Linked DNA regions of Callithrix jacchus. The protein of the gene in region 4 purifies or fractionates together with the protein of the main gene of each other region. This does not show direct contact. Links are inferred from orthologs where the notes say so. Each region holds a gene or a part of one and is shown on either strand. Other genes may lie near its edges.

Region 1 (6,996 bases), on a different chromosome or scaffold from region 4:
CCATTCTGCTGCTGCTGCTCTTCCTCAGCACCATGGAGACTGTGCTGCTGGCTGGGCTGCTGGCCAAGGGCAGCTTTGGGGCCAAGAGCAGCCCCAGCCCAGCCCTAAGAGGGGAACATCGAGAACATGGCAACTCAGGGCCTCATCCTGAAGGTAGGCAGGGGCTGGGGGGTAAGGAATGAGGCCTAGGAGCACACCTAGGGCTGGGGTGAGGGTGAGGGGCTCCAGGCATGTGTAGAGGCTCCCTGCATTTACCCTGCTGGCTTTTCTGTCCCTGGTCACCATCATGTCCTCCTCCCTTGGAAGAAACAGGTCTGGGGCAGGGAGCAAGCTTAGCCTCCCTTTAGTCCCAGGTGACCTCAATGCCCTGATAACCCCATACCTTCCACGGTCTGAGAGGGGTTTCTTCAACTGAAGATGGCCTGAAATGGGTCAGACCCAAATGTATATCACCTGGGAATCTAAGAAAGGGAAAGATAGGCTGATGACCCCTGGGGTTCACTCTTCTGATCATGTTGGGGGGACCCTGAAGAACAACTTCTTTCCCTGCCTCTTTCCCCACAGAGCCCCCCAGGGGAGTAAAGGGGTCACAGAGGAGCTGGCCTGAGACTGCTGACCGCATCTTCTTCCTGGTATATGTGGCTGGGGTGCTGTGCTGCCAATTCATCTTTGCTGGCATTTGGATGTGGGCAGCGTGCAAGTCTGACCCAGCCCCTGGAGAAGCTGCACCCCATGGCAGGAGGCCTAGACCATAACAGGGCAGGGCCTGGGCTGCACACCTTAGGGTGACGTTTGCCGTCCCATGGCTGGGGGAGGCCATGACAGGGTCTCTGGACAAAGCCACCCTGAGCTCTCCCTCCGCCAGCATACAAGCAAAGTGTGAAATAAACCCATCCCCATGTGCAAGTGTGCCTCAAGGGGCAGTCTTCATTCTCGTCCTAAATAGGTGGAGTCCTATTTTTTGCTTCCGACCTCTACTTTGCTCCTGACCTTTTGCCCATTGTCCCTGTCTCCCAGGCAGGCAGTCTAACTGCTCCTTCTGCAACATGACTGCTTGGCCCTGGGCCAGGAGGCACTGAGGCTGGGGACCGGAGACACAGGTCTGAGGGAGGCTGCAGAGGGTGGAGCGAAACTCCTCCAAATGCCTCCTGCAATGTGCTGGACTCCAGGGGGAATGGCCAGTGAGCAGGCCCGCACCCCGGCCACCTTGGGGACTCCTGGGAGATGGAAAGGTCCCAGACCTCAGGCCTGTGGGCGAGTGGGAATGTGTTTTCTGCACTAAATCCAAGAGAGGGGTCAATGCTGCCTGCCTTCTCCAGGGGCTCTGGCCCTCTGAGCCCCACCACATTTCTGGGCTGTCGGAGGAGTTCTCTGGCCCCACCTCTGACCTAGGCTGGAGGTAGGGCCATGCTGCCCTCCTGCTCTTGGTACATGTGGGGCAGCAGTGGGCACAGGCCTGTCTTCCTTCTCTCCCTTCCTGTTTCAGAAGCCATCAGGGTCACCAAAGCCAAGGTATGAAGGGACTCCAGGCTTCCAGGAGAGTGCTGGTTTGGTTGGGAACATAGGGTGTGGGGAAAGAGTGGAACCCAGGACTAGATGGCTCAGGGACATGGCTCCTGGATGGGGTGTTGGAGATAGGACTCTGTCCCAAAGGGGCCAGAGGCAACTTAACACTGGTTTATCTGTCCAATGACATGTCAGTCTGGTGGAAACAGGCAGGGCTAGCAGCAGGCTCAGGCAGAGGTGTCGAAAAGGCGATCGATCATGTCGCCCACCTGCTCCACACCGTACTTGATGTACTTCTCCGGGTTCTTGGTGAAGGGCACACTGCCGAACCTGAGGGGGCACTGCCGTCAGGGGACAGGGAAGCCGACCCTCCCCAGCACCACCCTCAGCCTAAGGCACTCCTGAGAGTCTCGGAAGGTGTGACCCAGAGTGATTCCCTGTCCAGCCCCGCCCCAAAGCCCAGGGTGCTGGATCTGCGGCCTAAACCTGTCACCCTTTTCCTTTTGCCCTTGAGGAAGAGGAGCTCAAAGAGCCCACTGTGGCCGTGGGCAGCACAGGCTGGGAAGGGGCTCACTTCTGCAGAAAGGCCCCATAGGTCTCCTTAACAATGGTCTTCTGGGCCTGGCGAATCCTGTCCCTCTGCTCCATGTCCGGAATAGCCCAGGCCTTCTGGATTTTGCATAGTTCTTCAAGGCCATCATTGAAGCCCTGGCCACCAAAAAGGTGAAAAAGGAAGGGACCCAGAGACAAAACTTTGGGTCTGTGTTGTCTCAAAAACAGCAGCAAGCAGTGGAAAGGAGAGGACCTCAACTCACCTTAAAACGCTCCTTGATAATCTGACGCTCCTTGTCCCGGAGCTGGGAAGCCAGGAGAGATAGTAGAGAAAGCTCAGTTCAGAGCAGGGCAGCCTGCCCGCACTCTGTTCCAAACGCCCTTGGCCTGGGCTTCTCTCCTGTGCCCTGATGGCCATACACATCCTTTGCTCTCTGATCCCAGAGGGACGCTTGTCCTCTTTTCCCAGAGATACAACAAAGTATCCAGTCTGCTAAACACCCATTCCCAGCCCAGGCCTTGAGCCCACCTTGACTCCCGGCTGGAACACAGGTAGATTCTTCTCTGCGATGTAATCGGTCACCTTTAACCAACTGCCGGACAGAAAGAGAAGCATGAGGGCAGAGGACGGCCTGCCTCGGTGGCCTGGTTTGTGTCATTTGCCAAATCTCTGGATCTACTTAGTGGTTGGTGGTAGGAAGGGATGTGGGTCACAACTAAGCAAAACAACAGATTCTCTTCCTGGGAATAGAAAATGTTTAAACAGCCCAGACGCAGTGGCTCTCACCTATAATCCCAGCAATTTGGGATGCTGAGGCAGGCAGATCACCTGAGGTCAGAGGTTCGAGACCAGACTGGCCAACATGGAGAAACCCCATCTCTACTAAAAATGCTAAATTAGCTGGGTATGGTGTTGCATGCCTGTAATCCCAGTTACCTGGGAGGCTGAGGCAGGAGAATCACTTGAACCCGGGAGGCAGAGGTTGCAGTGAGCCAAGGCTGCGCCATTGGACTCCAGCCGGGGTGACAAGAGTGAAACTCTGTCTCAAAAAAACAAAAAACAAAAACAAAAAAAACAAACAAAAGAGAAAATGTTTAAACTGGTCACTCATTGAGAAAACATAAGGAAACATTTGAGTGTTCAATAAACTGAACAAATACTGTCAACTATATTTCACATCAGTATCATGGCAAATTAAGACGGAGAAACAGATGGGAAAGAAAGGAGTGAGTGGAGGGGAGATAAACAAGAGGGAAGAGGGAGACACACTCAAAGGGAAGAAACAGAGCCAGGAAGAAAGAGGACCAGAGAAGCACAGAGACCCCCACAGAGCCAGGAAGAAAGAGGACCAGGGAAGCACAGAGACCCCCACAGAGCCAGGAAGAAAGAGGACCAGGGAAGCACAGAGACCCCCACAGAGCCAGGAAGAAAGAGGACCAGGGAAGCACAGAGACCCCCACAGAGCCAGGAAGAAAGAGGACCAGGGAAGCACAGAGACCCCCACAGAGCCAGGAAGAAAGAGGACCAGAGAAGCACAGCGATCCCCACAGAGCCAGGAAGAGGACCAGAGAAGCATAGAGATCCCCACAGAGCCAGGAAGAAAGAGGACCAGAGAAGCGCAGAGATCCCCACAGAGCCAGGAAGAAAGAGGACCAGAGAAGCGCAGAGATCCCCACAGAGCCAGGAAGAAAGAGGACCAGGGAAGCGCAGAGACCCCCACAGAACCAGGAAGAAAGAGGACCAGGGAAGCACAGAGATCCCCACAGAGCCAGGAAGAAAGAGGACCAGAGAAGCACAGAGATCCCCACAGAGCCAGGAAGAAAGAGGACCAGAGAAGCACAGAGATCCCCACAGAGCCAGGAAGAAAGAGGACCAGGGAAGCACAGAGATCCCCACAGAGCCAGAAGGAGGACCAGAGAAGCACAGAGATCCCCACAGAGCCAGGAAGAAAGAGGACCAGAGAAGCACAGAGATCCCCACAGAGCCAGGAAGAAAGAGGACCAGAGAAGCACAGAGATCCCCACAGAGCCAGGAAGAAAGAGGACCAGAGAAGCGCAGAGATCCCCACAGAGCCAGGAAGAAAGAGGACCAGAGAAGCACAGAGATCCCCACAGAGCCAGGAAGAAAGAGGACCAGCGAAGCGCAGAGACCCCCACAGAGCCAGGAAGAAAGAGGACCACGGAAGCACAGAGATCCCCACAGAGCCAGGAAGAAAGAGGACCAGAGAAGTGCAGAGATCCCCACAGAACCAGGAAGAAAGAGGACCAGAGAAGCGCAGAGACCCCCACAGAGCCAGGAAGAAAGAGGACCACAGAAGCGCAGAGATCCCCACAGAGCCAGGAAGAGAACCAGAGAAGCACAGAGATCCCCACAGAGCCAGGAAGAAAGAGGACCAGAGAAGTGCAGAGATCTCCACAGAACCAGGAAGAAAGAGGACCAGAGAAGCGCAGAGACCCCCACAGAGCCAGGAAGAAAGAGGACCACAGAAGCGCAGAGATCCCCACAGAGCCAGGAAGAGGACCAGAGAAGCATAGAGATCCCCACAGAGCCAGGAAGTGGACCAGAGAAGCACAGAGATCCCCACAGAGCCAGGAAGAAAGAGGACCAGGGAAGCACAGAGACCCCCACAGAGCCAGGAAGAAAGAGGACCAGAGAAGCGCAGAGACCCCCACAGAGCCAGGAAGAAAGAGGACCAGCAAAGCGCAGAGACCCCCACAGAGCCAGGAAGAAAGAGGACCAGAGAAGCACAGAGATCCCCACAGAGCCAGGAAGAAAGAGGACCAGAGAAGCGCAGAGATCCCCACAGAGCCAGGAAGAAAGAGGACCAGGGAAGCGCAGAGATCCCCACAGAGCCAGGAAGAAAGAGGACCAGGGAAGCGCAGAGATCCCCACAGAGCCAGGAAGAAAGAGGACCAGGGAAGCGCAGAGATCCCCACAGAGCCAGGAAGAAAGAGGACCAGGGAAGCGCAGAGACCCCCACAGAGCCAGGAAGAAAGAGGACCAGGGAAGCACAGAGATCCCCACAGAGCCAGGAAGAAAGAGGACCAGGGAAGCACAGAGATCCCCACAGAGCCAGGAAGAGGACCAGAGAAGCGCAGAGATCCCCACAGAGCCAGGAAGAAAGAGGACCAGGGAAGCACAGAGATCCCCACAGAGCCAGGAAGAAAGAGGACCAGGGAAGCACAGAGATCCCCACAGAGCAACGCCCAGCCAAGCTCAAGTGCTCTCCTAACCCTGAGCTTCTCCTAGGCTAAACATGACCCACATCTGTGACAGCCGGCTCTTCAATTACTCTTGGCCTTGACACTTGGTAGGCTCCCCTCTAAAGTGGCTGGCCACAGTGGGCCTCTAGGAGCAGGTAGTTGCAGACGAGGGGGCTTCTCTCTCCACCCCATGAGTTTGATTAAAAACCAAGTGGAAGATTAGGGTCCAGAGGGCAGTTCCCCATGACTGATCCCTCTGTCCTGAGGTGCTGAGAAGGAAGACTGGTTGGTGGCACAGGGTTGGGGTGAGGACAGAGACGGCTGGGGTTCCATGCAGGGCAGGGCGAGGCCAGCCTCTCACCTGCGCTGGTAGGTCTGGACCTGCTGCTCGATGTGCTCCCGGTAGGAACGCTCGGCAGTCTTCTGCGTCACTGCTACCAGCTGGATCAGCTCGGACCTGGGTGGGGGCGGGGGACAGAGAAGAGAAGGACAGGATTGGCACCTAGGTGCAAAGGCTGTAGCAATGCCTGGGGGGGCCTCCCATTGCACCCCAAACTCCATGAACTCTACAGCAGCAGCACTCCCACCTTCTGGGTCCTGGGATGGAGGAGACTGAAGTACCCCCTCCCCTCCCGACCACAAGAGAGGGAGCCCAGGAGGGCAGGGGCTGGCACAGCTGCACAGCTGAGGGGAAGGTGAGAGCCACAGACTCGCTCTTGCAGGCCACTTACTTCTCCAGGGACTTGAGGATGTAATTGTAGTTGTTGTGCAAGAAGATGGCGCTCAGAGCGGGGTCCTCATAGACCTTGGACTTGCTCAGCAGGTTCAACTGCAGGTTGCCCAGCACTTTACCTGCATAGGGAAAAGTGGGGCCATCCCCACCATGGTGGTTTGACCCAAATGACCCCATCCCAGGACCCGCTAACCCACCCTTATCCATTGCTCCTCATCCTGCTTCAGAAGGCCTTAGCCCAACTCCCCTCGGCCTCTGAACTAGAGGTCAGGTTGTGGTCCCAAAGGTCAGATGGCACTTAGCAGAGGGCTCTGGGAGTAGCCAGAGAGCACAGATAGAAGGAAGGGAAAGGCAGGGCATGCCGGCAGCAGGGCTGCTGGTCCGCCCGGGAGAACACTCACAGATATAGGTACTTAGCAGCCGCTTGCTGAACTCGGAGCTGTAGCTGGTGGCAGAAGAACTGGTCTCTGTGAGAGAAGGCCTGTTATTGCAGTGGCAGCAGCCAAGACCCTCAATGGCTCTTCCCCCAGCCCATGCAGCAGTCTGAGGGGGCACAGAGACAGGCCCTGGGCTTCATTGGGCAGAGCCGGCTACCTGCTGAGTCACAGGGAAGCCCCTGCTGCAGGAAGCACCAGCCCTGGACATTTTGGAACCCAGAGCTGCCCTCTATGATGGGGTGGTGTGGCCAAGGAGCTGGTCCAGTTCAGCAGGAGGGTGGGCAGGACAAGAGTGAGATGCCAGCGCCCTGCCCCCTCCCTGCCCCCAGCCCACCCCAGGTAGTTTCTACAAGGCTGCCTCTTCCCTTTTGCCAACAGCAGAGGCTTAGTATGAGCTCCCCACAGTCTCTCCACCTCTCCCTACATTTCCAACATCCCCCTCTACCAGGCCCTACTGAACAGAGGAAGCTCTGGCCTCCACAGTGTGGAAGGCTGAGGGGGATGGCAAGGCAGGGAGGCCGGACGAGCCTGTGGGGTGTATTCAGGGCGCTGACCCCAGCAGGT
Region 2 (7,617 bases), on a different chromosome or scaffold from region 4:
GGGACAAAGCGAGACTCGGTCTCCGAAAAGAAAAAAAAAAAACCCTAAAAACTAAAGGAAGGAGAGATGAAAAAGAAAATACTGTGGGATTTTACTTTTGTAAAGTTCAAAAATTGGCAAATGAATCTATGCCATTTGGAATCGGGTTAGTGCAGTCCCTTGGAGTGAGGTTGGGGATAGTGAGCTAGAGGGGGCATAAAGAGAGCTCCTTGGGATCTGGTAATGTTCTATTTCAAGATATAGATTCCAGTTACACAGTATAGTGATGTTGTAAGCTGCACACCTATGATTTGTGAGCTTTTAAAATATATATGTTATACTTTTAGAAGTAGTTTCTTGAAAAAATTGACAATCCATATATCTTTACAAATTTCATTTGTAAAAAAAAAAAAACTCTCTTGTAAATATGATGCTTTAAAATACATTTGAAAAGTAAAACATCATACAAAATGCCGGTATATTTTAGTGCCTCATGTTTATACAGGATGGATAATACTGAATAATGGCTAAGATTCAGAACAATATACACCAGAAATTGCACGCATAAATTCCCTGGTCACTATTAACACTGTGTTTTTCTTTTTCTTTTTTTTTTTTTAATCTTTATTCTATGAAGAAACAAGCACTGTGTTTTTCTTAATGCCTAAAATAACATCTAAACAAGGGGCAGCTGCCTCAGGCAAATTGGTACTTAGGCGATTTTAAAGACCTTAATGAGATCAGGTAATTGCTTGGTGAAGCTAAAAATTTTACCTTCAATTAACTAATCAACAGCACCATACATCATCATAACTTCTCACTCCCTTCCACCTCCGTATCATCAAGTCGTTTCCTCCAGATGTCTGAACCTGCACTCAGGGTCCATTTTTTAAACATTTATTGAATTAGTCTGGTCTAATCTACAATTAATGGAAAGTCTATAGTAATGCAAATTCCATACGCAGCTAAGGAAAGTTAAAAATTTGAAAAAGCATGTAAAGCAAATACACTTTCTGTTCCTTCTACAATCGTTTCTTTGCAATTCATAAAATACTTTCAGAAATCACTTAAAAATATTTGGGTTTCCTGCTTCCATTTTCTAAATAGATGATGCTGATAAAAATAGCAGTGATCACAGCCTACTCCAAATAGTGTTGGGTTTTTTGTTTTTGTTTTTGTTTTTGTTTCCAGTAAACTGGGTAGATTTTAAATAAAACTCTTGATGGAAATTGAGAATTGTGAACTGGAAATTGAATGAAATTGCCAAGTGTGAAAGGGAAAAATGGCCAATAAAACCACAGAAGCACTTCCTCTTCAAATTTATGCTGGTAAAAAGATGGCAGAGAACATCTTCTTTTAGTGCTTATTTAACCTTAAATAGACCTAAATATGTCCTCCCCTCACCGTGGCCCAAGTTGGCACCTGCCAAGTGTCTCTGTAGCACTTATGGCCCCTACCCACTGTTTTCTGCTGTGCTCCCAAAGCCATCCAGGCAAGCTGTGTTTCTGGTAGCCAAGGAATGGGAAGTATAATGAGGGTGCAGGGCTTGGGGAGGGAGGGAAATGGCTCTCCTCTCCTTGAGGAAGGGCACATGGCTTTCACTTTCATTCTGTAGTACAATATTTATTAAAAGCTTACGGCAGGTCAAACATAGTGCTGGATGCAGGGGACACAAATCGTAAGCCATCACACTGCCATGTTGATGCCAGAGTCCCCTGTGGAACAGGCCTCCATGGGCCAGATGAAGAATAAACATAATTATACTAAATAGTTTATGTAATTGCGACACCAAATAACATGAACCAGAGGAAAACATTTTTTGTTTGTTTTTGAGACAGAATTTTGCTCTGTTGCCAGGCTAGAGTGCAGTGGTGCTATCTCCGCTCACTGCAACCTCCACCTCCTGGGTTCCAGGGATTCTCCTACTCCGGACGTTCCAGTGTCCAGAGTAGCTGGGATTACAGAAGTACACCACCACACCCAGCTAATTTTTGTATTTTTAGTAGAGACAGAGTTTTACCATATTGGCCAGGATGGTCTCAATCTCCCAATCTCGTGATCTAACCACCTCGGCCTCTCAAAGTGCTGGGATAACAGGCATGAGACACCACACCCAGACAACTTTTTTTTTTAACACTTTGAAAGATATAAAATATATTTTATAATGCTCATTTCCCCCAGAAAACTGAGGGAGAAATGATACTTCACTCAGCTTATTAGTTTTCTAATGTAATAGAATAATATGTTACATACACAGAAATTGCTTATACCTGATGCTGTATCATAATTCCTTCCAGATATAATGCTAGATTGAATCAAGGCAAAAGATTAAATAAGATAAGCAAAAAAACCTCAACTCTTTTCTTACAGCTAGAATTAGACTTGATTTGATACCTTCTTAAGAGTGCAACCGATTCAGTGAGGAAATTCTCATTACATTGACCGGTATAGTAATTGAGGTTTTGGGTGTAACTTCTCGGTGACAGTTTCCTTATCTGGAAAATGAGGTTGATAACAGCCTCTACTTCATAGGGTCGTTGATGATTAAATGATATAAAGCAAGTGAAAGATTCGCATAATATTTAGCAGCACATAGTACATGCTCAGTAATTCATTAATTTAACATATATTTACCAAGTGCTTAATAGGGCAGGCTGAAGATACATAGCAGTGAACCAAACAGACAAAAATCCCTACCCTCATGATGTTCATATATCAGCAAGAAGAGACAAATAATAAGGCAGTAAAAATATTATATCCCATTGCATTAAGTGAAATAGAAAAAATTAAATTGTGGTTGGGGATAGGAAGAGGAGGTTGCCATCGCAAAAAGGCTGGCAAAGGGAAGGCCATGTCTGAAGGAGAGGAGGGAGCAAGCCATGAGGCTATATCTGGTGGGGAAGAGAGTTCCAGAGAGAGGAAAGTGCCAATGCAAAAACAAAGATAACTGTGTGGTGGGTAAAGCAAACCTAGGTCCGCAATCCCTGATTCAAAATTCTGAAATTCAGAATCTCTGGAGTTCAGTCATGCATACTCCCCACCCTCTCTCACCTCCAGGCCTGTGGACAGGACCGTCCTTCTCCGTGGAACACCATTCCTTTTCGTTTTCTTTGGTTGGGAGTCCCTGCCACAGCATGTGCTGCTCACCCCTTATTCCAGATCTGTCAGCTCCGTTACACTCCAGTGCTACTGAGTGCCTTGACCTTAGGACACAGGGATTATTACTCTTCTATTTATGTTCTCATTATCATTATTATTATTATTATTATTATTATTTATTTGAGATGGAGTCCCACTCTGTGGCCCAGGCTGGAGTGCAGCGGCTCACTGCAACCTCCGCCTCCCAGGTTCAAGTGATTCTTCTGCCTTAGCCTCCGGGGTAGCTAGGATTACAGGCACCTGCCACCACTTCCGGATAATTTTTGTATTTGTTTTAGAAGAGGTGAGGTTTCACCATGTTGGCCACACTGGTCTCAAATTCCTGACCTCAAATGATCTGCCTGCCTCGGCCTCCCAAAGTGCTGGGATTACAGGTGTGAGCCACCAGTCCCAGCCTATGTTATTATTATTGCTTAATAATAAAATAAATTAAACATTTATCCCCGGCTGGATGGGAGCAACGCATTAGGGCTCCAGCAACATTCCCCTCAATTAGGATTCTCACCTCAGCTAAAAGATGAACATTTCCATAAATTTCAGGAAAATCTTGGCTCCAGTAGTGACATCTAAAGAATGGAGATTAGTCATTTTCCATTCTAAATGGGGAAGTAAACTGAATGAAGATGAGGAATCCTGAAAGGCAAGGAGGGGAAAGGAGAAAGGGAATGAATAAGATGAGGAAGGAAAAGTGGGGAGGAGAAGGAGGATGGAAGGGCATAAACCCCGATAGAAAAACACAAACAAGGTTATGAGCATCTCCTACTGCAAGCGTCTGCGAGCAGCAGAGGAGGGACCCTCTGCCGTTAACTCTTTCCCGTACTTGTTCATCTAAAAAGCTGACTTCAGAGAGAATGAGATTTTTGAATACTTATGGTTTTTCAAGGATACCAAACTCCCCTTCCAAAATAAAAAGGAGTCTAAGGAATGGATAGAACATACGTTTTAAACAAATGTTTTTAAAGTGGGAAGCGGCTTCATTGGCTTTCATCTGGAAAGTCGCGGGATATTTGCAGTGACTTCTTTTTGTTTTTTGTTTTTTTTTTAAAGTAGCAACGCAGGAAAGCGTTCGGCTGCTCGCGGCGACGGCCGGATGCTCCAAAGTCAAGATCCTCCGCAGACAGGAAATGCCTCTGCCAGCTCCAAGGTCCCCTTGCCGCAGCCCTCTGTATTGTCCAGAGAGATTTGTGTACATCCGACTGAGCAGGTTTCCCGCCTGCAACTGCGAACCCAAGAGCTGTCTCAAAAGAAGGAATCACTGGGGCTGTCTAGCTTTTCTGACTGACACTCGGGCCCACTGCGTGCATGGGACGGACGCCTTCTCTCGGGGAAGCCACGCTCCGCTCTAGGAACTGAGGGACGGAGGCTGAGGATGAGTTTGTCCCCCGGGGCCCCAGCCAGCAAGAGAGGGGTAGGGATTCCATCTGTCTTGCTGCGAGCCATGCTTGCATCCACAACGGTGTGATTCTGGTTTTCCTACAGCCACATGTGAAGGGGTAGCTGCTCTTCTTTCTGTGGACCTGGGGTCTCAGATCTTTGGGTGAGTAGGAGGAGTCTCCAAAGTGCTTCTTATTTGGGTTTATCAACAATACAAAAAAATACATGTCAAGGGAAAAAATTAGACATATACAGAGTCCAAATGGGACTTCCTAAAACCTCTATGGACTGAAAAATAAATATCAGTACAACGTGATTATTTTGACTACAAAATACTGAACTCCTAGTCTTTTTTCTTTTTTCTTTTTTTTTTTTTTTTTTTTTGAGACAGTCTTACTCTGTTGCTCAGGCTGGAGTGCAGTGGCATAATCTTGGCTCACTGCAACCTCCGCTGCCGGGTTCAAGGGATTCTCCTGCCTCAGCCTCCCAAGTAGCTGGGATTACAGGCACGTGCCACCACACCCTGCTAATTTTGTCGTTTTAGTAGAGACAGGATTTCACCATGTTGGCCAGGCTGGTCCCAAACTCCTGACCTCAGGTGATCTGCCCGCCTCAGCCTCCCAAAGTGTTGGGATTATAGGTGTGAGCCACTGCACCTGGCCTGAACTCCCAGTCATTTAGAAGCATCCTGGGTGATTGTTTGGTTTTCACATTCTGTCCCATATTGTCAGTAGTCACATAAATAACTCCAACCACGGATTTAAAGGCTCATTGATTATTAGATCTTGAAAAAAAATCAAAATCAGGAGATTTTGAGTTCATCAATTTCCACATGGCAATATATCTGGAATGGGAATTTTAGTGTCTTCTGTCCCCAGCAAAATGCATTTTCCCCAAGTCCAAATAAGTTTTCTTAAATCCCTATCCTGCCCAATCATGCCCTAAGATGAATATTCACAGTAATGAAAACCACACACACACACAAAAGCTTGTCAGAAAAGTTGAAAGAGAATAGGTACTTTCACTATCAGAGATGGTTTCCTCTTTTCCCACAAGATGTGTTATCAGCTTTCACCCTGAGAGAACCATAAAAAGTAAGAAAAAGTAATGTTATGCAATAGTTCTCTAAATAAAATACTACACAGTAGACTAGTCATCTCTAAAAGTGATGTTGTTTAAAGAGTCAAAGTACATCATCCAACAAAATCAATATCATATTAAGTTAGAAAGGGTTCTGAATATCAAAGACCAATGAACTGAATAACTTAAAGTATAAGTACACGACCCAGGGGATTAATCACACACTGTCATGGTGAAATTAGGGCAATTCTTCCAATCATTAACGTTTTGCTTACAAAAATGTGCTTTTCTGTTTGTCTTTCTGCTAAATGATAACCGTTTTCAAGTTGAATCTCCTGATAAAAAGAGTTAAAAACAAGACAGGAGTTGTGCTGTAAAGGTCATACATGCTGCTTAAACATGAAATAGCCAAAAGACAAACAAATGAAAAATGCCTGGATCGTAGGAGGAATTTCTAAATCTTCATTGGCAATCTGCAATGGTGCACTTCAGAAAAGTGAATGCCTACCTGTGTCCTGAGAATACTGCACCTCCTCCAGTTAACATGCTCTTGATTCTTAAGGACATGTTTAGATTCAGAGTGGGAGCAACTTGAAGAGAGTTAGGACAAGCTTGAAATTGGGAAGCAGCCTGGTTTCAGGGAATTGTCAACTTTAAAACTAGATTTTACCCCTCGACTTTTCTAGTGTCAATCAATACATTAGTCTGTATTTCTTTGCTGAACAGTCATGATACAGTTACTCTCAAGAATAAACATTAACCAGGGTTTATCTCCAGAAGTGAAACACACACATGGATCTCAGGATTACTTTAATTCAATATTATGTCCACAAGCTGTCTGATATAGACAGTCCCCTTTTCAGATGAGATGGATTATGACCTTTGAAACCTTGATGTAATCTGTTAGGCAGGGTCTGGAGCTTGGAGCCCACAGCTGATGGGAAAGGAAACTCTCCCACTGGGTGGCTACTTTGGGTGCCAAGGTTGAGGAGACATGGGGATAGGGAGAACAATAATGATGGCATGAATTGAGTTGGGAATTTGGGAGCTGGAAGGGGTCATGTGGCTCAACTAGACCATCTTTGACCTACAAATGAGTTGAGGCCAAGAACTAAAACACCAACCCAAATCTTCAAACTTCCAAGTCTATCCACACCTCTCTGCTTAAGGACTAGTACTGCTTTTCTCAAAAATCTTAATTCACCTACAATTCCAGGGGCCTTCTTAGAATCTAAGGAGGCAGGATGTGACAAGTCCCTAAGAACAATGACTTTTTCACTGTCTTCATCTGAGTGTCCAAATCTAGGGAGGGCCACAGCCCTGGGAGCCAGGCAAGGGGTAGGGTCATTCCTTCACAGGTCCTTAGCCAGAGGTACCCAACTCTACAACTAGAGGCCTCCATGGAGGCCAAGGCTAGAGAGAGAGATTTCCGGGTCTCTCTCCAACAAGTCTCTGTCATAGTTTTCCTGGACTGGCAGAGACCTGATGGCTCAGCTAGACAAGCAGCTGGCACAGACTAGCAATACCCTCAACAGTCAGAAACCTGGGCCTCCACACCCACCTCACCTCAGCACTCCATTCTCTCTCGATCACATGGTGCCCCGACCTCCACACTGCGCCCTCTGCTCAGCCATCAAACCTCACTCCCACTAGCCTGGATAAGCCCTGCATTCCTGTTTTCCCTCGTCTTTCCTTCCTCTCAGTACTCTGCCCCAGCCTCTGGCTGGCCAGAGTTACCAGGGAAGCAGGTGGGAGAGTGAGCGGGAGGGAGGGGTGCCGGTCCCAGCAGCTTCTTCCACACCCCGAGTGCTCACATCACACCACCAGAGGTGGTGTCGGGCTGCAGCTTTGGCGTCATCCCAGCGCTTGTTGGAAAAGCAAATTCCCGGTCCCAGCCCAGTTCCAATAGATCAGATCCCTAGGAACGGGGCTAGCCATGGGTTTCCACAAGCCCTCCAGAAGGTTCTGAAGTTCCCTGAAATCGAGAACCGCTCTCATCGCAAACCACCTCCCCACTGCTCTCGG
Region 3 (7,482 bases), on a different chromosome or scaffold from region 4:
ATACTTTTTGTACTGTGGTTTGTATTAAATTTGCAATATTGATATAAAATATGACATGCTAGTACATGTTTAACATAAATTGAAATGTCTGCATTTTCCTAATGAAGTCACTTTATTTCCTTTAAAGGGTGTGCTGGTTAATTTACCTTCTAAAGCAGCCTTTCACCACAAAAGGCAGCAATAAAAATAAAAACTCTAGAGCTACAAGCCTCCCGAAAGAGGAGGAAGTACCTGCCGTTTCCCTGCTGCTGCCCAGAAGGTCTAGGCCCCTCTCCCCTGTCACTGAGGGTCAGGGACCCTCCCAGGTGCTCTCAGGACGCCCCAGAACTGACCTGTTAAGTGAGGAAGGTAGAGCTGAGGGCATTGTGGGTTGGGGGCCAGGTGGTGTCCACCCTGCCCCATGCACAACAGGCCCATGGCAAGGGGGCGGCAGGGTCACTGGCCCAGGCAGATTGTGGCCAGATGCCTCCTCCCCGAATGCCATAAAAAAATTGCTGGGGCCTCCTCAAGCACAGATGGCAGCCCAAGGCCCATGGAACTGCTTCTGTTTCCTCTCAGGCACCTTTAGAGTCCTAGCAGCCCCTGCCAGGCCTCCTTTGCACCCTGTCCTGGTCACTGGTGTAAGACTCCCATGTCCTCCCCGGAGACCAGGCCAGCCCTCCCATCGGTGGCTCCATACCTTAGCCCATCCCTCCCCCCATGCCCTCTCCTCTGTGGCCTCTGGCAGATGGAGTTCCCACATTTTCACTCCTCACCCCCAGTCTGGCTTCTGCTGAGTGAGCCTGCATGGAGTTAGGATGAACACAATTTTTTTTTTTTTTTTGAGATGGAGTATCACTCTGTCACCCAGGCTGGAGTACAGTGGTGTGATCTTGGCTCACTGCAGCCTCCACCTCCCAGGTTCAAGTGATTCCCCCACCTCAGCCTCCAGAGTAGCTGGGACTACAGGCATCCACCACCATGTCCGGATAATTTTTGTATTTTTAGTAAAGGCTGGGTTTCACCATGTTGGCCAGGCTGGTCTCAAACTCCTGGCCTCATGTGATCAGCCCACCTCAGCCTCCCAAAGTGCTGGAATTATAGATGTGAGCCTAATTGCCGGACACATGCAATTTCATCTCACCAGGCGCTGCCCAGAAGAGGGGCTTCACCCACTTGGTCTCCCTCCTACCTCCCCATCTCCCGGGCTCCCATCCTACCCAGGCCTGGCACCTGTGTGGACAGACATTTTCAGTCCTGGGCTTCTGAAGGGTTGAAACGGCAGTTTTATGTGTGATTCGTTCACGCAGCATTTTTTAATCCCTGTTAAATATCAGGCCCTGCCGCAGTGCTGCAAACACAATCGGGAGAAAACATGCAGACGTCAGTGGTATCCCAGAGCTGGTGTCTGCAGGTGTGTGCTGTGCCGTGTGTGCGTCCGTGCAAGGGGTGCAGGCAGCTGAACGTGACCATGAGAACCCTGTCAACTTTGTGACGCAGGGAGGGGCCAGTGCTTTGCAGGTGCACAGAGCTGGGGTTGGGGGTGCCCCAGGTCTTTGGGGCAGTTTTATGCGGGACATATGCAGGGCTGGAGCTGAACGGCGAGTTGGGGAGGCAGCATGGCCACAGTGAGATCTGAGTGACAACACAGCAGGGCGTGGGTGGAGACGCCCTGGTCGGGGCTCAAAGGCTTGAGCTGAGCCCCGTGAGGAGGGTGCAGGGACGAGGTCTCCCTGAGGAAGGCCAAGGGAGGCAGCTTATTCCCCGGAGCCAAAGGCTCTTGTCCTTTACCCATTTCTTGCTGCACTTGTTTCCCTTTTGGATTAATCTGCAGGAGTTCCGCTTCTACTCTGGATAGCAATCTTTTGTCAGTTACAGATGTTGACAAGGTTTTCCCTCAGTCTGTGGCTTGGCTTCTCACTTAAGGATTTAAAAAATATATCCCACGAGAGTTAAAAATTTTAGTTTAGCAAATGTCACATCGCCACACCAGCTTCTCAGGCCTCGCTGGCCCAGAAGGGAAAAGCCTCCAGCTCTAATCGTGTTTCTCGATGCTTCAGATGCTCTCCTATGAATGTGTCAGCTTCTGACGCACTTACCTGTGTTCACGTTACGGACACATTTGAACACAGGGTCCTCCTCATTGCCTGAATTTTCTTTTTTCTTTTTTTTTTTTGAGACGGAGTTTCGCTCTTGTTACCCAGGCTGGAGTGCAATGGCGCCATCTCAGCTCACCACAGCCTCCACCTCCAGGATTCAGGCAATTCTCCTGCCTCAGCCTCCTGAGTAGCTGGGACTACAGGCGCACCACCATGCCCAGCTAATTTTTGTATTTTTAGTAGAGACGGGGTTTCACCATGTTGACCAGGATGGTCTCGATCTCTTGACCTCGTGATCCACCGCCTCGGCCTCCCAAAGCGCTGGGATTACAGGCCTGAGCCACCGCGCCCGGCCCATTGCCTGAATTTTCTATTTCTGCAGTGGCTAACCTTCATTTGCGCACTAAGAAGGTCTACGGAGGAGCCAAGCACGGTCTCCATTCTCCCAGAGCAGGGCCAGGGCTGCGGGCGCGCCGGTGCCTCCCTCCCTCCCGCTCAAGTCCGCTCCGGCCCAGGTGGAGGAGGGTCTCTCCGGCAAGGTCCCCGGGTCCGCTTCCGCCGAGCGCTGAGCTTCCCTGGCCCACCCTTTCACTGCGGACGCACCGCCCAGAGCACCTGCGCATTACTCGGAAGTCTCCGTCCGCCTCCCGGCTGCTGGAGCCTTAGCTTCAACCTCCGTCCCGCTTCGGGACCTGCCGCTACCTCACGCCCTACGCCACCGCCGCCTGCGAGTCCCGCACTCAGGACCCGGCTCTCGTCCTTCCGGCGCCTCGACGGAAGCGGAAGTTCCCGCGCGCCGTCCACTTCCGGCCGGGACTCCCGAGGCGGCGGCGGCGCAGAGGGTGAGGCAGCTACAGGTGCCGACGGCCCTCGGCTCCCCGGGCGGTGGTCGCCGTCTTTCATCCTCGCTCTCCCAGTCTCTGGCTTCCGCGGGGGCGCGTAGGGGGAGGCCGGGCCGAGGCCCGGAGGGCGGGGAGGCGGTTCCGGACCCCGTGGTGTATCCTGCTCGTGCGAGTGTCCTCGGCGCAGGTGCCCTTTTGGCGGAGGTGTCCCCCAGGCGCAGGTGTCCCCCCCCAGGCGCAGGTGTCCCACCCCAGGCGCAGGTGTCCCCCCCCAGGCGCAGGTGTCCCACCCCAGGCGCAGGTGTCCCCCCCCCCAGGCACAGGTGGCCTTCCTGGTACAGGTGTCCCTCCTGGCACAGGTGTCCTCCCAGTTGCAGGGGTACCCCCAGCGGAGCTGTCCCCTCCGTGAGGTGCCCCCAGAACAGGTGTTCCCCCCCAGTGCAGGTGTCCCTTCTGTGAAGTGTCCCCTTGGTGAGGTGCTCCCAAGCACAGGTGTTCCCCTAAGCGCAGGTGTCCCCTCTGTGAAGTGTCCACAGCACAGGTGTTCCCCTCAACACAGGTGTCCCCTCTGTGAAGTGTCACCTCGGCGAGGTGCCCGTCAGCACAGGTGTCCCCTCTGTGAGGTGTCCCCTGGGCGAGGTACCCCTCAGCCCAGGTGTTCCCCTCCATGCAGGTGTCCCTTCCGGTGGAGGTGTCTGCCTGGCAGAGGTGTCACCCCCACTTCTTGCGAGGTGTTCCCCTCAGCACAGGTGTCCTCCGGTGAGGTGCCCCCCCCCCACCCAGCGTAGTTGTCCCCCTGGGTGCTGATGTTCCCTTCAGTGGGGTGTCTCGCCCTCTGTGGAGTCTCACGACTGAGCCAGCACCAGGGGAAGGCAGTCAGAAGGGCCCTAGTAGGGGTCGGACCTGGTCTCTGTTTATGGCCTCCGAGTTCCTCTTTTGCTTCTGTGACCCAATCTTCAGGCTGGGATGGAAACCTCTGTGGTGTGTTTTTTACCTTCAGATTTTCGCTTTTCCCACATGAGTAGCTTTGTTGTGAATCCAAGGTGAGCTCTGCTGCACTAGCTCTCCACCCACATCACCTTGGCTCCCGACTGTCCTTTACCTGCACCGTGACAGACTCGACTCCAGCTTTGGGATGGGTCCAGCCACCTCACTGTGCGCACCAGCAGAATGGCTGGATGTCCACTTCCTGGGCTATTATCTAGCCCTAGGATCCAGATCACACAGGCTTTCATGTCAGTGGAAATGCTGACGATAATGTCCGAACAAAGGAAGAAAGCGAAAGCACGAACCCACAAAGTCATAGGAGCGGTGGGACCTTCGCTTAAAGAGAAACCCAAGGGGGAAGAACAAAGGCTGCAAGGAAACACGCCCGGTTGGACAGCTGCCGCGGGATGGTGGGATTTGAGGGGAGCTGCCGCGGGATGGTGGGATTTGAGGGGAGCTGCCCCGGGATGGTGGGATTTGAGGGGAGCTGCCCCTGGATGATGGGATTTGAGGGGAGCTGCCCCTGGATGATGGGATTTGAGGGGAGCTGCCCCTGGATGATGGGATTTGAGGGGAGCTGCCCCTGGATGATGGGATTTGAGGGGAGCTGCCCCTGGATGATGGGATTTGAGGGGAGCTGCCCCTGGATGATGGGATTTGAGGGGAGCTGCCCCGGGATGGTGGGATTTGAGGGGAGCTGCCGCGGGATGGTGGGATTTGAGGGGAGCTGCCCCTGGATGATGGGATTTGAGGGGAGCTGCCCCGGGATGGTGGGATTTGAGGGGAGCTGCCGCGGGATGGTGGGATTTGAGGGGAGCTGCCCCGGGATGGTGGGATTTGAGGGGAGCTGCCGCGGGATGGTGGGATTTGAGGGGAGCTGCCCCGGGATGGTGGGATTTGAGGGGAGCTGCCCCTGGATGATGGGATTTGAGGGGAGCTGCCTCTGGATGATGGGATTTGAGGGGAGCTGCCCCTGGATGATGGGATTTGAGGGGAGCTGCCCCTGGATGATGGGATTTGAGGGGAGCTGCCCCTGGATGATGGGATTTGAGGGGAGCTGCCCCTGGATGATGGGATTTGAGGGGAGCTGCCCCGGGATGGTGGGATTTGAGGGGAGCTGCCGCGGGATGGTGGGATTTGAGGGGAGCTGCCCCTGGATGATGGGATTTGAGGGGAGCTGCCCCGGGATGGTGGGATTTGAGGGGAGCTGCCGCGGGATGGTGGGATTTGAGGGGAGCTGCCCCTGGATGGTGGGATTTGAGGGGAGCTGCCCCTGGATGGTGGGATTTGAGGGGAGCTGCCCCTGGATGATGGGATTTGAGGGGAGCTGCCCCTGGATGTTGGGATTTGAGGGGAGCTGCCCCTGGATGATGGGATTTGAGGGGAGCTGCCCCTGGATGGTGGGATTTGAGGGGAGCTGCCGCGGGATGGTGGGATTTGAGGGGAGCTGCCGCGGGATGGTGGGATTTGAGGGGAGCTGCCCCCGGATGATGGGATTTGAGGGGAGCTGCCCCCGGATGGTGGGATTTGAGGGGAGCTGCCCCCGGATGGTGGGATTTGAGGGGAGCTGCCCCCGGATGGTGGGATTTGAGGGGAGCTGCCCCTGGATGATGGGATTTGAGGGGAGCTGCCGCGGGATGGTGGGATTTGAGGGGAGCTGCCCCCGGATGGTGGGATTTGAGGGGAGCTGCCCCCGGATGATGGGATTTGAGGGGAGCTGCCCGTCGATGGTGGGATTTGAGGGGAGCTGCCCCTGGATGTTGGGATTTAAGGGGAGCTGTTCCTGGATGGTGTTATTTGAGGGGAGCTGCCCCTGGATGTTGGGATTTGAGGGGAGCTGCCGCGGGATGGTGGGATTTGAGGGGAGCTGCCCCCGGATGGTGGGATTTGAGGGGAGCTGCCCCTGTATGTTGGGATTTAAGGGGAGCTGTTCCTGGATGATGGGATTTGAGGGGAGCTGCTCCTGGATGGTGGGATTTGAGGGGAGCTGCTCCCGGATGGTGGGATTTGAGGGGAGTCACCCCTGAGTGGTGAGATTTCAGAGGAGTTGTCTCTGGCGTCTTCGTATCTTTGTCCTGATTTTCTACATTGGAATGCCTAATCTCATCATGAGAAAATAAAGAGAAAGGAAAAGTTGCAATGTAGCTCCAGATGAAACAGGAGAAGAGAGGTGTCTGAAAGCATGTGGGCATGGAGAATGAAAAATTCCAGGAGAAGGTGGATATTTTTAATATTCATGAAGATGAAAACAATAGCCAAAGTCAAGGGGAACAGGTGTCTCAGATTCCTGCATTGACCAGATGCTCACCAGGCAGCCCTCTTAGCTCCCGAGGAGGACGATGGTGGTGTGAGCGTGGAAGGCAGGCTTGCCTGGCATCTGAGCACCTGTGGTCCTCACGAGATCTGCGCAAAGAGGGATGCATGATGTTTTCTAGGGCCGTTAAAAAGGGGGAGATGGGATTTTGGATGCCCAAGACAATGGTGACTTTTATAGGGGCTTGTGGGGCTTGTGCTGGGCTTCTGACTGTGGGGCCTGGTCGGGGGAGATGCCCATGCTGTACTTGTCTTCACTGAGTCCTGGTGCAGTTGCCCACAGGCCTGGCCAAGGTGTTGGGGAAAGGTGCAGTTGCCCACAGGCCTGGCCAAGGTGTTGGGGAAAGGCTCTGGAAAGGAGAAATTAGCCCTGTCTTGGGCAGAGATGTGCCTTGGAGTCTGACATCTACATGGTGGGTGGCCTGTGACCCACATCTAGAATCTTCCAAATGTCCCTGTCTCTCCTGCCCGCTCTTCTCTTAAAGGTATAACTTCCCATGTTTGGGTTACAAAGGTCCACTTATCTTAAGGAGTTCCTAATCCTAGTTCAGCTTTCCTTCAGGTTTTCTGGAGGAATGATCCCAAACGCTCCCCTTGTAGCTCCATTGTGAGCACCCGGTTGTCTGAGGGAGGTTTGTATCTAACATTCCTACCTTTCTAACAACCCCTGCAGTGCACACAGAATACCTCTAGCATGAACTGTGTGAGGATTCCACCTGCCTTTTGACCATGAAGGAGACAGACAGGGAGGCTGTTGCGACAGCAGTGCAGAGGGTTGCTGGGATGCTCCAGCGCCCCGACCAGCTGGACAAGGTGGAGCAGTACCGCAGGAGAGAAGCGCGGAAGAAGGCCTCCGTGGAGGCCAGACTGAAGGTGAGCAGAGCGATCACGGCCACCTGCCCCACTCCCGGCAGCACGGAGCCGTCTGTGTTGGGTCTCAGGTTCGCCGTGATGATTTTGCTGAACTAGCCTTTGTGGTGATGTGGGAGGAGCAGAGCTGGGTTTCTGGAGCAGTTATTTTCAGCAGTGTTTTACCCGTCAGTAGCTTTGCTGAGAAGACAGTGTGAATGGTGAAAACACCCAAAGGAACATCCTTTTAAATACCCTGAGGCTGGGCGCAGTGGCTCATGCCTGTAATCCCAGCACTTTATGAGGCTGAGGCAGGTGGATCACCTGAGGTCAGGAGTTCAAGACCAGCCTGGCCAACATGGTGAAGTCCCGTCTCTACAAAAATACAAAAAATTAGCTGGCATGATAGCGGG
Region 4 (6,996 bases):
GCCTTACAGGGACATAAGCATGTGCAGGTGAATTAACACACATGACGGTTTTAGGATCACCCTAGCGTAACATCAGTGCTCCATGTCATTATTAGCTGTCATTATTGTATATCTAGTGACAATATTTTTAAAGATTGGTCTTAAGTTTGCAGGTGCATCTTGAAACACAGATTTGGGAGTCACCAGCATAAAGATGGTAGTTGAACGAACAGGATTGAATGATTTAACCCAAGTACTATGTGCAAAATGAAAGAAGAAAGCTAAGGGTTTAGAACACCAGGGAATATTGAGAAGAGCCAGGATGTGGAAAAGAAACTGACATTTACTTAGTGGCTGCCTGGCAAATATTTCACAACAGGCATTCAAAAAAAACGAAAGAAAAGAAAGAAAATTAATCCTAATATTAACATTTCCCAGCCACCAAGTTGTAAATACTCCCATTAGGGTTGGTTTCAAGCTGCCAGCTCAACTTAAATGTGAAGAGATGCTGACTGTTGCTCTTGAGAGGTGTATGTGCTGACGTCAGCTCTTTCCTCATTTCCCCCAGGTTCCAGTTCCGCGTACTCCACATAGAGTGTCAGGGATGGTACTGTTAACGATACTGTCCATGTAGCATTGTTATGGTATAGCCAGCAGCTATCTAGTCATTTTCTGGTCTGTTGAAATTGAGGTAGTTAGGTCTCTTTTGTAGTCCTGGTTTTGCTGTGAGTTTGTACATTTTAGAGTTACCCTAATTTTCCAGGAGCGCTAATGTTTCATTACCTAATCTCATTAAACTTGCTTATTCCTGGGATAAATTGTGCTGTGGTGGGTGGAGCAGCTGGTGATGGGGTGTTACTTCTATCCTGCCTCTGACCTCCCCAGTTCCCATCAAGAGGAGAGCACAGATTAGAAATCACTTCGGTGATCTGTCTCAAGTGTCAGTACCAAGGAAGGGACCAAATGGTCACTTTGAAATAAGAGAAAGCATAATATTTACTTTAAATGAACATGCTTGAAATTAGAAGACACCATTAGAATTACAGGATTGGGTTTTCTAGACGACAGGAGTTCCTGCACATATAAAAATGTTTTTTTCCATTGTTAAGGATGTGAGATCACTGGGCAGGTATGAGTTCCACTGATTGATGTGTAATGCCACCTGGACTTTCCTTCCCATCTTGTACTATAGGAAAATTACACTGTTCTACAGACCCGACTACACTGGCGGCAGCCACAGTTTCTGCAACAGCATTGCTGTTAGTTCTTGCAGTTCCTGTGTGACTGAGACAGTTGAGAGTCATTGTCCAAACTCACTAGTGTTGGAGACCTTTTTTTTTTTTTTTTTGAGACGGAGTTTCGCTCTTGTTACCCAGGCTGGAGTGCAATGGCGCAATCTCGGCTCACCGCAACCTCCGCCTCCTGGGCTCAGGCAATACTCCTGCCTCAGCCTCCTGAGTAGCTGGGATTACAGGCACGCGCCACCATGCCCAGCTAATTTTTTGTATTTTTAGTAGAGACGGGGTTTCACCATGTTGACCTGGATGGTCTCAATCTCTTGACCTTGTGATCCACCCGTCTCGGCCTCCCAAAGTGCTGGGATTACAGGCGTGAGCCACCGCGCCCGGCCCTGGAGACCATCTTTGGGTGACGAGAAAGGACCAATTTCCAGACCTTGGTGTGGCCAAGGCTGGCAAATGTCGATGAAGGTTTGCTCTGTAGCCTATGAGGCCAAAGTCATGGCCATCCACTCCAGTTAGACTTGTTCTGTGGTTGTACACTGATATTCAGACCCCACCAGCTGCCTTAAAATTGGGTGTTCTTGGTGTGAGAATGTGTGTGGATTAGCACATGGGGATTTTTATGAGATGACCTTTGTTGATGCCTTTCTGGTGGCATTATCTGTGACATCAGCCTCACATATGAAGAGCACCCCTTTTCTTTAATAGTTTTATTTTCTTATTAGTAGCCCTAGAGAAGAAAGACATAAAATGCATTTTGTGAGCTGCTGGTGATTTTTATCTATTTGCACAAATGTTGGTTTCACTGCTCTCATGTATTTTATTACTGAATATATTATCTAATAATCAGAATTAGGAACTTTTATTGTGAATACAATAACATTTACAACAGAATAATAATGTATAGACAGATGTTATCTCTAAAAATTATGATCTCATAACTTATAATTTCTCAAGTATTTGCATAAATTAAAATTCTCCACATATAAATACATATATTTTGGCATACATAAACTTGAAATTTTATAGTTTTAATTTCTGCATATAAATTTTTCTATATGTCTATATTTTATTTACTTATGAGTAGGTTTTCTTGCTGCACTTGTTTTCATACTTTTTAGAGGAGTTAAAGTTAATAGTTGATAATGTTTTACCCCTTTAAAAATAAAAGGAGAAAAATCTAAATTTGAGCTCACATACTTTTTGCCCCAAATTTCATTATACTAAAAACAAGTAAAAAATTTTTTTCAAATGGCGCTTGGTTATTTAACATCCAAACCTAACATATAAGTAATTAACCTTTCAAAAACATTCAGTCCCCTTTACATATCTATTCATTTATGAGCCTCAATTCATGAAGTTTTTATTTTTTAAATGATAAATACTTTAAAATAATTTTCTTTGACAAAAAAAGTTTTAACTCTAATCAGATTTCAAATATTAATTTAGACTCCATTATATGGTTTGGTGGCAAGAAGGTAATGTATTTTTTCTCATCTTATAATAGAAATGTAACATTCTACATTAAATAGCATGTGGTGCAAACAGTTATCTTGACAAAACAAAGTTTTTATATCAGGCCTTTAAAATTTCAACAGAATTTAAACATTATTTAGATAAAACAATCATGTTACAAAGACGACTTTTAACAGGATCAGGCCACCCACAGTGTGCACTAGAGAATATGGCATGCAAGCCACCCAGTGAGACTGAGGCAATTTTTTCATCTTTGCTTAAAGTATAGTCACTAGACCAGATAATGTAGAAACTTTTTACAAGCAGTGATCAAACAACCGAAAACAGTTTATCTTTTTTCTCTCCTTTCGTTGTGACTAATTAAAACTAATTTACAAGTTGCAAAACTATTTTTGTACACAGCAAATTTTCCTTTAGATAAAGGTGCTCTTTCATTACAGTGATTCATTTAGTTTGGGATCTTTTAGGTAAAAATAAAAAGACTTAGGAAATATGCAGTTCATGTATACTTTTATAAGAATTAGCTGATTGAAAAAATATTCATGATGGTGCCTTGACGTTTATTATTTGTAAATTGCTTATGTAATTTTCTTTGCTTGCTACATAGAGATGATTCTGGCAAGAAATAGAATTAGTTTTAAATAGTTCTTTTGTTCAACTTTTCTGAGAATGATTTTTCTTGTTTTGTTTATTATCCCATATGTAGATACTGAGTCCACAGAATTTAGCTCATGTACATGTGTATGCACACACATGGATATCTGTGTGTTTTTCTCCATTGTATGAAGTTCTGAAATAACCTAGGTGCCCACAATTGCTACAAAATTTAGAAGATTAACGAAAATAAATGTAGGTTCACATTAGAAAATTTATTTGGCCATGGTAAATATGTTTGTTTTTATATTGGATACCATTCTTAACATATGAAAAGACTTAGGCAAAATGGAAATTTTATTTTAGCAAACTATAGAAGATCTCTGATATAGCTAACCTTAAAAACCTTCTATTGAGTTTTAATGTAAAGCTATAATAACAGTCTTAATATTTTGTTTCTAGTTCCCAGTTACACATTTTCTGATTAAAATCAGCTTTCATCTAAGTCTCCTTTCCTCCCTTTAAAATAGGAGCAAGTAATACTGCGGACACATTGTTTCAAGAAGTATTAGGTCGGAAAGACAAGGCAGATTCCACTAGAAATGCACTCAATGTGCTTCAGCGATTTAAGTTTCTTTTCAACCTTCCTCTAAATATTGAAAGGAATATTCAAAAGGTAGAGTCCATATTTATTTATGTACATATGGTTATAGATGTCATATATTTTTAAGATATTTAAAAATGTTTTTTATATTAACCAAATGTCTTCATTTTGCATTACTACCAGTTTTCAAAATGTTTCTTTATTTTAAAGGGTGATTATGATGTGGTTATTAATGATTATGAAAAGGCCAAGTCACTATTTGGGAAAACGGAGGTGCAAGTTTTCAAGAAATGTAAGATTTGTTTATTACTTTTAGATCTTCTACTTTCCTTTTATAGGAAGAATGTGGAATGTGTTCTGCAAAGAATGTTATAAGAGTTTTAGTTTTTGTTTATATGGGGCTCTTTCTAACAATTACTTCAAAAATAACAGTATGACTTTTCTTGTTTGATATATAGTGAAAATGAAAACTACAACGATAGGTTAGTCTAGGACGTTCTTTGCCATTTGTTTGTCATAACGCTATTAAAAACTCTTAGTTTACTGGAAAGAATCAATGACAAATATTTTGTAGAGTTGGAAACTTACATTTTAATCTTACGTCTTCAGAGAGACCAGTAGACTTACGAATTCTAACTCATTTAAAGGAAACACAACAACTTTTGAAATTATTTTTAATGCTAGCGTTACAGAAAAATAGAAAAGTTTAAAATGCTCTTTGGTTAAAGCCTTATCCACCAGGAGAAATATCACAGGGCCTTATTAAATTCAAAAATGAAAGTTGTAAGGACTCAGAAAACTAAATTTTTTTTTATTGTGGTAAAATGCAGTGAAATGTTACCTGTTAGAGGTCCGTGAGTTGCGACAAATGCATACACCCTTGTAACCTACACCCGAGATAGTGTTCTGATCATTCTAGACAGGGCCCTGGGGCCTCTATCTTAATCAGCCTCTACCCCACAAAAGCAACTACTATTTTGCTTTCTGAAATTTGATTTTAAATTTCCATTCTGTAAATCTTGCATATTCTTTTCTTTTTAAATAGATTATGCTGAAGTAGAAACAAGGATTGAAGCTTTAAGAGAATTACTTCTGGATAAATTGCTTGAGACACCATCAACCTTACATGACCAAAAACGTTACATAAGGTAAATCTTCTGCAAAAGTTTTGTGGAATCACATATATCTCTTTGGTACTAGATGTAACCCTTAAGGCTAATTTGAGGGACTTTAGGATATTGATGAAATGGTGAAAGGGAAGACAAATAGCAGAAATTTAGGGGTACCTGGAGTAGGATACCAAAATTCTTTTGAATACTAATGGCCTTGGGAGTAGTTATTGAGTTACTTTTTAAGAAAACTCTGCCATTTGGGAGAAAGGAAAAGTAGCCCGTTTGCTTAGTTACCTCTTCCTCCTGCTGAGCAAGGGTTACCTCACCTAGTGGGATGGTTTGGGTACCCACATTTTGTGAAATTGGGGCTCCTTGTGTGGCTTAAAGCTGAATACTGTCACACACTGGATGGGAAATGCATTATGCCACAAGAATGTGTTGTTGTTTAACAGCAGAGTAAATCCTGCAAGGTTTTAGCCTTGAATAGCTGTTTGACTTCCAAGCCTTCAGTGTCAGTGATAGAGAAATAAAAGTCACTAAGTGAGCATACTTTAAAAAAAAAATTACAGTAATGTTAAGAGTGGTAAATGTCACAGGATATGAAGAGAAGGACTTATAGAAAACTGGTATACATAATAGGACTAGCTGTTGACTTTGGGCAACTAACTTGAGTTCTGTTTTTTAGTTTCTTCATCTGTGAAATTGACCTGGTACTCAAATCTGCATCTCAGGATAGTTGCAAAGATAATCAGAAATACATTTAAGGATTTAATACAGCACTGAGCACATAAAATGTCATCAGAAAATTTTATATACATGTAGTTTATGTCAGGATTTGGAGACAAAGCATATAAAGTTTAGATTTTTTATATCTGTATTAAAAATATTAATTTCATTTTCTACTGGGATTTTTTGAGTATGGCCTTTGTTCTCAGAACAGGTTATTTTACAGATTTAATGGTTTTCCTCTTGAATTCATGAAGTTTATTGAATATTCAGTGGTTATAAAATGATAGACAGTGTATTTATGAATTTAGCTGTGGTCCCCATGTGACCTTTGAAAATAATGTCTCAGGAACTGGCATGGTGGCTCACATCTGTGATTCCAGCACTTTGGGAGGCCAAGGCAGGATTGCTTGAGTCTATAAGAGTTTAAGACTAGCCTGGGCAACATAATGAAACCTCGTCTCTACAAAAAAAATCAAAAATTAACCAGATGTGGGGATGCACACCTGTCATCACAGCTACTCAGGAGACTGAGGCAGTAGGATCTCTTGAGCCCAGGGGTTTGAGGCTGCAGTGAGATGTGATCATGCCACTGTACTCGACTCTGGGTGACAGCAAGATCCTGTCTCTGGGAAAAAAAAAAAAAAAAAAGACTGTCTTGGAGAGAGGGTTTGGCCTGAAAGCTGCTGTGTATGCAGTTGTGAACAGGGAAAGGATCTATAAGGCGTACGGCAGGAGTATGAGCCATTGTCACTGGTAGCACACTAGTATTGCCCAGGAGGAAGCAAGCAGAGGCACTGGCGGTGGGATAAAGAGAGGGCTGTGTGATTGCATGCTGCCACCCCTGCACGTGTGTTGCAAGCTCCGGCACTGGGCAAGATGTGTTCTGCATATCTACTCTAATCCTAATCACCGCCATGAAAGGATGCTTGTGTGGTGCCCATTGTACAGGTAAAGACACTTAAGCTTGCCCAGCACACACAGTGACAAGGTGTGGCTCTAGAGCCTACCCTTGCTTCTCTCTAAGCTGCCTCCATAAGAAAGAATGTATATGGGGGATTTTCCTGGTTTGCAGACTCCTAGAAATTTAAACCTGGAAATAAACCACACTTCAGTTATCCAACTGCTTCATTTCTACCTAGAAAGCTACAGAGTTCCAGGGAGGTTGAGCGTTGTGTCCAGGACACGCAGCTGGGTAGTGTCAGACGTCCTGAGGCTGCTGTTTTCCCCTCTGTTCCTTCACTGTGTGTGCTTTGTGTATTTC

What was found.
Region 1: the proteins of EXOC2 (region 4) and EXOC7 fractionate together in Homo sapiens (co-fractionation; 4 studies listed by BioGRID, with this or other methods). This does not show direct contact. The link is inferred for Callithrix jacchus from reciprocal best matches to the Homo sapiens genes EXOC2 and EXOC7.
Region 2: the proteins of EXOC2 (region 4) and EXOC6 purify together in Homo sapiens (affinity purification with mass spectrometry; 5 studies listed by BioGRID and IntAct, counting the BioPlex papers as one, with this or other methods). This does not show direct contact. The link is inferred for Callithrix jacchus from reciprocal best matches to the Homo sapiens genes EXOC2 and EXOC6.
Region 3: the proteins of EXOC2 (region 4) and EXOC3 purify together in Homo sapiens (affinity purification with mass spectrometry; 6 studies listed by BioGRID and IntAct, counting the BioPlex papers as one, with this or other methods). This does not show direct contact. The link is inferred for Callithrix jacchus from reciprocal best matches to the Homo sapiens genes EXOC2 and EXOC3.

The regions. Positions count from the first base shown.
Region 1 is NC_133506.1:131,986,341-131,993,336, forward strand, and holds part of EXOC7 (exocyst complex component 7), read right to left. Parts: intron 6,463-6,996; coding exon 6,397-6,462; intron 6,115-6,396; coding exon 5,994-6,114; intron 5,720-5,993; coding exon 5,624-5,719; intron 2,652-5,623; coding exon 2,588-2,651; intron 2,364-2,587; coding exon 2,322-2,363; intron 2,215-2,321; coding exon 2,081-2,214; intron 1,837-2,080; coding exon 1,734-1,836; 3' UTR 756-1,733; coding exon of another isoform or gene 565-755; 3' UTR 154-564; coding exon of another isoform or gene 1-153. Other genes in the region: ligand-gated cation channel ZACN, read left to right, coding at 1-153, 565-755. UniProt on the Homo sapiens protein: Component of the exocyst complex involved in the docking of exocytic vesicles with fusion sites on the plasma membrane.
Region 2 is NC_133513.1:85,427,881-85,435,497, reverse strand, and holds the start of EXOC6 (exocyst complex component 6), read right to left. Parts: upstream 4,242-7,617; 5' UTR 4,078-4,241; intron 3,772-4,077; 5' UTR 3,644-3,771; intron 3,183-3,643; 5' UTR 3,116-3,182; coding exon 3,031-3,115; intron 1-3,030. UniProt on the Homo sapiens protein: Component of the exocyst complex involved in the docking of exocytic vesicles with fusion sites on the plasma membrane.
Region 3 is NC_133503.1:205,623,818-205,631,299, reverse strand, and holds the start of EXOC3 (exocyst complex component 3), read left to right. Parts: upstream 1-2,880; 5' UTR 2,881-3,107; intron 3,108-3,920; 5' UTR 3,921-4,317; intron 4,318-6,893; 5' UTR 6,894-6,949; coding exon 6,950-7,093; intron 7,094-7,482. UniProt on the Homo sapiens protein: Component of the exocyst complex involved in the docking of exocytic vesicles with fusion sites on the plasma membrane.
Region 4 is NC_133505.1:31,115,392-31,122,387, forward strand, and holds part of EXOC2 (exocyst complex component 2), read left to right. Parts: intron 1-3,820; coding exon 3,821-3,966; intron 3,967-4,104; coding exon 4,105-4,186; intron 4,187-4,939; coding exon 4,940-5,042; intron 5,043-6,996. UniProt on the Homo sapiens protein: Component of the exocyst complex involved in the docking of exocytic vesicles with fusion sites on the plasma membrane.